Linked DNA regions of Mytilus edulis. Each later gene encodes a partner of the first gene's protein in a complex. Links are inferred from orthologs where the notes say so. Each region holds a gene or a part of one and is shown on either strand. Other genes may lie near its edges.

Evidence for each region. Proteins that work in one complex are often made in the same cells at the same time.
Region 2: exosome complex component RRP42-like (region 1) and exosome complex component MTR3-like share a complex: the UniProt entries of both Homo sapiens proteins name them as parts of the RNA exosome core complex. The link is inferred for Mytilus edulis from reciprocal best matches to the Homo sapiens genes EXOSC7 and EXOSC6.

The regions. Positions count from the first base shown.
Region 1 is NC_092348.1:9,394,200-9,397,958, reverse strand, and holds the start of exosome complex component RRP42-like, read left to right. Parts: upstream 1-1,450; 5' UTR 1,451-1,536; coding exon 1,537-1,593; intron 1,594-3,759. Other genes in the region: palmitoyltransferase ZDHHC3-like, read right to left, coding at 1,364-1,377. UniProt on the Homo sapiens protein: Non-catalytic component of the RNA exosome complex which has 3'->5' exoribonuclease activity and participates in a multitude of cellular RNA processing and degradation events.
Region 2 is NC_092345.1:86,987,621-86,991,379, forward strand, and holds the start of exosome complex component MTR3-like, read left to right. Parts: upstream 1-1,345; 5' UTR 1,346-1,429; coding exon 1,430-1,519; intron 1,520-3,759. UniProt on the Homo sapiens protein: Non-catalytic component of the RNA exosome complex which has 3'->5' exoribonuclease activity and participates in a multitude of cellular RNA processing and degradation events.

The DNA of each region.
Region 1 (3,759 bases):
ATCAATATTATTAACCCTTTCAACGCTACACAAAAAAATAGAAAAATGGCTGCTGCTGCTGCATTTTTTTTTAGTACATTCATTAGAACAGTATTTTCCTTTTCAGACTGCTGTATCTTTTTTATTATATGAGATACAGAGAAAGTTATTGCATGAAAAATGCTCAGGAGAGCATGAACTGTAATGTTAGGCAATTATTTTACTGAAATTTTTATCAGGTTACCTGCGTTTTCAGGTAATTAACAGGTAAAAGGTGTAATTTATTACATTTGTGTTGAATTTTGAATAAAAACTACTTTTAGTCTTCATTTATTTTGTTGTTTTATCTGCCATATTGTAAAGAAGACACCAGTTGCCCGATTTCGTAGCGTATTGTACCATACATAACGTTTTATGTAATCGTGGCACAAATAAATAGCTCCGTCAAAAAAAATTTCAGTCAACCTCCGTTTTCCCCCCTTTTTCTACGTCTCGTAATGATCGATCAAATCATATTTCCCACACGAATTTTATGTAATAAACACATTGAGATAACAAGAAACCTTTTAACTAATCCTTGTTGTAAGTTTCGCCAAGGAAATGCTGAAATTTTTCCATATTTACAGCTTCGTTTCCGATTTCCGCCATTTGCATTTGTCAAAATATTTGTTTTTATTTTCCTTCTATTTTCCTTCTACTGCATGATTTTACTATAAAAATTGTCGGGATTTCAAGCGCAAATGAGACCTTGCATATCCTAGATTCAAACGAGGAAAAATTAGAGAGAACCCGAATGAAAACCGAATGGTTTAAGAGTCCTTATGAAAAATCCTTTTTCATCGCGGCATATGCCGCGAATAGCAGTGGCGAACGGCGTACGTCATCGCGGCATATGCCGTGTATAGCGTTGGAAGGGTTAAGTTATAAATTATTTATTTATATGAACATCTTCAATATTTTATTTTTGATTGTACTGTATTTTTAGTGCTTGATATTGTGATAAAAAGATTTTAAATTATTATGAAGATTTTTTCATTCTCTACTACCATGACTAATCACATCAACATGATCAATGAACAATTTTATTCAGAGCCGGCTAAACAAATTTGCTATTTTGCCGGTGCCGGTAAAATAGCCACTGCCTTTGCAAAAAGCCATTTTATTAATAGAATTTCTACTTTCAATTATCATTGTTTCAGCTTCATTTAGTCTATCAGTGGAACAAAATGTATGTGAAAGAAATATCACATCTTTTTGGATAATCTGATTCAATGAGGAATTTCAGGTGAATAAACATGTTTTTGTTCTCTCATGTATGCTTTTTCTGTTCGTTTCGAGGAAAATAGTGTATTCTACTACGAAAAGTTTTGCTTATAAGTCTTACAGAGGGTCATCCATTCTATAAAGAAGGAATTTTAATGTGAGATTTGTTTGGGATCACCAGGCACAGGGCGCCGACATTTTCCAATTGTTGATGACGTTTTTCGCATTCTTCACACTTCCGGTTTATTTATTCTTACCATGCTTCCCTGTTGATATTAGTTTTATGATAAAATCATGGTTGATGCTTTGTTGAGTGATGCTGAGAAAGTGTTTATTATACATGGCATTCAGGTTTTATAAGTTCTATTCACTATTTAATTCTTTGTACGAAAAATATTTCTGAAAAAAAACCAACTGGCAACACATATCATCATAGTGGAAATAATTATGACATTCTGGCAAGGCTGTTTTATTTTTGTTCTGGGACGCCTTCCTACGACACGAAGGCGTCTCAGAAAAAAAATAAAACAGCCTTGCCAGAATGTTATAATTATTCGAACTACACATATATCTTCTTATTCTTCTTCTTCTTATGGTATCCAGTTATCCATCAGATTTTTGATGATTACTAACTGCTGCGCATGCGTAGGATAATAATAAATAGATATTTACAAAAGAAAAGTGCCAAAAATAAACAAATACTAACATGACATGTGGTTAAAACTATTTACATAACTACTAGGTTTACTGTTTTATATTGTAGAGAACAGTAGGTGTCAACTGTTCTCTAAAAATATTTAAGGTCGGAGAAAGTACTACCTTTGGAGGTAGTACATTCCATTGTGTAATAGTAAACGGAAAAAAGGAATATTTGTAACAGTCTTTAAATGTAAGTATGTGTCTGTAAGTTTGTGGATGGAATTGTCTGGTTCTATTGTCTGTTGGTATGAGTAAATCTGATGGTATGGCGACAATATGGTGAACAATTTTATAGAACATTATAAGTCTAGTTTTAAGTCTGCGTTGTTGTAAGGTAGGCCAATTTAAGGTATTGAGCATGTCTGTAACGCTACTGGTGTTGTGGTAACGATTTCAGGCATACCTAGCTGCCCTACGTTGAACCATCTCAAGTTTATTGCATTGTTCAGCAGTATGAGGGTTCCAAACCGAACAAGCATATTCTAGTTTTGGTCGGACAAGTGCTAGGTATGCCTGGGACTTAATGTTTGTGATTGATGTTTTTAGATTTCTTTTTAGAAATCCTAGACTTTTATTTGCATTGCCAATGATGTTGTTTGTGTGCTGGTTTCATTTTAGGTCAGATTGTAGTGTTATACCAAGATATTTAGCTGCGGAGACAGATTCTAGTGTATGACTGTGGAGAATGTAGTCTTTTTTAATTGTATTTTTCTTATTTGAGGCTGTGAGAACTGTACATTTGTCTGGATGGAAAGCCATCAGCCAGTCTTCTTCCCACTTTGCAGCAGCATCAAGATCTTCCTGAAGACTATCACAATCTTCCTTAGATTTGATGCTTTTGTAAATGATGCTGTCGTCGGCGAACAGTCTGAGTTTACTGGTTTTCAAATATTCTGGTAGGTCGTTTATGTAAACCAGGAATAGAACTGGACCCAGAACTGTTCCCTGTGGGACACCAGAAGTAACTGGAGCAACGTCTGATGACTCTCCATCCAGGACAACTGTTTGTGTGCGGTTTGATAAAAAGGCAGAGATCCAGTTAAGTGTTTCATTTTGTATTCCATAGAAGTGTAGTTTGTATAAGAGTCTTTGATGTGGGACTTTGTCAAAGGCTTTGGCAAAGTCCATAATTACAAGGTCTGTTTGGGTGTTATTGTCTGAATTTGAAGCCAGTTCTTGTATAAAAGATAGAAGTTGTGTTTCACATGATCTAGAGTGTCTGAAGCCGTGCTGGAGGTCGTATAATAAATTGACATATATCACTGACATATACGCTGGAGTATATACACTCAAATATGAGTCCACTCCTTGACGGGAAGATAGATAGATAGACTGCCTGGATTTGTATTGTACAATAATTGATTATTTATAAATGATCCATTATTTTCAGTGTCGTTTCAAAAGTTAACATAGCTCTCACAGCATGATTAACAGGACAGAGTATGACGTCTTGAATGAGGGTAGGGGGTCTCATTGGGGGCTCCGATCCCGGTTCCCGCTTACTGTTTTGTCAGATTTCCGTATCCTGCTTACACTATGTATGTAGGCAATTCTCATTTTCTTGTCATTTCCCAGGTCTCGCTAAACCTCATTTCCCGTTTTCCTGAGACAATAGTTTGATTTTCACGTGTCACGCTTACAAAAAATCGGCAATCCAGTGTCACGCTTATACCTCAATGAGACCCACAGGGTAGTTCAAATAATTATTTGACATCTTGACAGGCTATTATATTTTTTTCTTTGACGCCTTACCTTGCAGGAAGGGGTCAAAGCAAAAGTTTAGAATACCCTTCCAAGACGTCATAATTATTTGGACCA
Region 2 (3,759 bases), on another chromosome or scaffold:
TTTATTAGCTTATTTTGTAATTTCATAGTTTTAGATTTGTTTGTATTAACTGTTAATTGCCATTTATCACAATATTCAGAGAGATTATTCAAGCTATTTTGCAGACCATTTTCGCTTTCTGATAATATGATTTTAAAATCGTCTGCAAGAAAGTGGCTTCCTATGTCTGAATTTATATGCTTTGCAGGGGTACATTTTTTGCTAATCATGGCAAATATCTGACTTAAGTCAATGATTAATAAAAAATATATATATATGTATAAAATCATATGTGGAGCTCAGCAAATAATCTCCTTGTCTAACACCTTTCTCTGCAATAAAATGTCTACTTGGTGTCGTCGTCCGTCGTCGTTAACTTTTACAAAAATCTTCTCCTCTGTAACTACTGGGCCAATTTAACCAAACTTGGCCACAATCATCATTGGGTATCTAGTTAAAAAATTTGTGGGCTCGACCTGGCCAACCAACCAAGATGGCCGCTATGGCTAAAAATAGAACATAGGGGTAAAATGTAGATCTTGCTTATAACTCTGAAACCAAAACATTTAGAGAAATCTGACATGGAATGAAATTTTTTATCAAGTCAAGATCTATCTGCCCTGAATTTTTTAGATGAATCGGACAACCGGTTGTTGGTTGCCGCTGCCCCTGACTTGGTATTTTTTAAGGAATTATTACCGTTTTTGGTTATCATTTTGAATATTTTTATAGATAGAGATAAACTGTAAACAGCAATTATGTTTAGCAAAGTAAGATCTCCAAATAAGTCAACATGACCAAAATTGTCAGTTGACCATTTTATGAGCTATTGCCCTGTATAGTCAATTTTTAACAATTTTCATAAATTTTGTAAATTTTGGTAAATTTTTGCAAAATAATTTCCTCTGTTACTAATGGCCCAAGTTCATTATAGCTGAGACTACTACATACACATGTGTAATAGTAGTCTCAGATAAAGATAATTGTAAGTAGCAAGAACGTTCAGTAAAGTAAGAACTTCAAACACATCACCATCACCAAAATACAACAAAATACAATTATGTCATGTATCCATCTGTGTTCTTTGTTTAATATTGTCACGCATAGGCGGATCCAGAACTTTTTCCTAAAAAGGGGGGGGGGGCGCTGACTGACCTAAGGGGGGCCGCTCCAGTCATGCTTCAATGATTCCCTATATAATCAACAATTTTTTTTAGTATTTAATTGTGTAGTGAGTTGGACACATCTTATCTTATAAAAAATTGCATGGTGGAGGACAGTATTTTATTCTGCTCCATTGGAGGTGTGCCTACATTGGCAGATTTTATACAGATACAGATCGATTATCCGGAACCACTACCGGAACTGGTTAAACTTCTACAATTTTTCAAAATGTCAGCCCCCATTCGTCGCTCATGAGCTTTTGAACATTACCATATACAAAGGGAAAATGCCGACCGATACTCGAAGGATTGGAGGTCCAGAGGAATCGTTCAGTCCTTTGGCATATACTCCAACCGATAGTACCAAAACTTTGATGGTAATGTAACAAATTAAACAGGTTGGGAACAAACCTTCTGTAAGGTGATTATACCCGGTTGGGGACAACCCACCAAATGGGTAACTGTTCCCCAAATGAGTAACAATAACTCATTTGAGTAATCATTTTGTAGTGCTAAAAAACAAAACTTTCTTAACTGAGTCTTTTTTCTTAAAATGGCACATATTCATGAAAAATGCAGCAACTTTTCTAAAAGATGATTATCCTTATCTTTTAAAGTTAATTTACTGAGAAGATACAAGCCTATGAAAAATCAGAAAATTTGACTATTTTCTAGGCTTCTAACTTTTTTAAAACCCACAATAAAAATATATTTCTTTGGGAGAAGTTGTTTCCATTTTCTATAAATTAGTGCCATTTTACCTAAAACGACCAATTTTAAGAAAATTTAGTTTTTAGCATTATGAAATTACTGTATACCTGTATAGAGGGATAATCCTTCTATAGAGGGAAAAAATTTAAAAAAAAACATAATACTGGTACAATACTGGTACAAATTTTTTATATCAGTATTGTGCACAATACTAGTTACCAGTATTGCAATCACCAACTACAGGAGATCCCTGTTTCCATCTCGGAACTGACCCAACGCAGACTGAATATTGTATACAAATGTAGTGTGATTAATATAGAAATATTTTGCATGTGATCGGGTCTCACTAAAACATATATGCAATAGCACTTTGTACAGCATTCTGCTAATCAATGGATTGACGTGGAAAATAAATCAGTAAAACAAAAAAAACCTTCCAGAAATAGAACATTGTAGAATAAAAATATGTTTAAAAATTTTATGCAAACAAATAAGAAAAAGATACAAAAAAAACCAAACAACAAGGCACATAAAATAAAAATAATTTTGAGGAACAAAGAAAATAAATAGTAAAATAGCAGTTGAAATGTGGAAAACATCGGTAGATATATAATAAGTATAGTCATATCACAACAGAAATATAAAAACCATGATTAAAAGAATTAGGCTACTTTTATTAAAACAAAGTTTTCTCCAGTACTTCACCTGTAAACATATTTTATGCCAAATACATGTAGGATGTAGAACTTCTATAATCAATTAAGTGACTGAGAGGTTAAAGTTACAGGTAACCTGATTCTGAAATCAGTGAACCATAATTCTAGTAGCAAGGATTAAGATGAAAGGACAAATATATTACCAGTCACACCTGGATCTGTTGATTAATGACCCTACTACCTACCATAAAAATGTCTGATTATTCATATCCGACTAGACAGATTAAGACATCCATAAAAATAAGTCTCTACCCCTACTGTAAATCAGTCTAGACCATGTAACGCTTGGACGCCAATGAGACACTGCATGTAGGAGCTGAATTTAATTGTAATATGATGCAAGCATTACCTGTGAAAGGGGAAGAAGTTTGTATGAATTATTTTTTTTAACTCAAACTTGTTAAAAAAAGAAACTGAAATTCAGAAACGTTTCCGATTTTGGTTCTGTTGTTAGGGATTTTAGTAGTGACATAATTTAAGTTATGACGTCATATTCAATGTAATAAAAAAAAAACTTATCAGGTAACTTTTTTTTATATCAAACAATTAATAAAAATGAATTGGATTACACTTTATCGCTTTTGTCCCCCATTACTGGATATCACAGTATGGTAACAGGATCTTTCGCCCTGATTACATGTTCGCCCTAGGTTCGTTCGCACTAAGTTTGTTCGCCCTGGCAATTCGTTCTCCCTGGGTGCGTTTGCCCTATTTTCATTTATGATATACATGTTGCATTAATGAAAGAAATATATATTTATATATATTAAAATTTATGTATATCTATTAAAAGTTAAATACAGAATATTAATTAAATAAAATTCTTGGCTGCATTGTTACACTTTATTTTATAATTACTTTTAATTACTGTTGATTGAATTTTGATTGCTAATTAGGAATAATTTGAAATCTTTGATATCACTGATTGGTATATGAATTGTTTTTGATGGATTAATAATGAAAATAACATTTTTCTCAAATAAAATAGTCAGCTTGGATGGGTAAAAAGAATGTAGGACAGAAAGTCACAGGACAAAAAGTCACAGACAAAAAGTCACGGACAAAAAGTCACAGGACAAAAAGTCACAATTCATTTTTTCTGATTATTTTCTTTGAATAAATAACGCTTATTTCTACAAAAATATTTTTGTATTTTTCTTAAACTATTGTATATAAACCAGCTTTTTAAA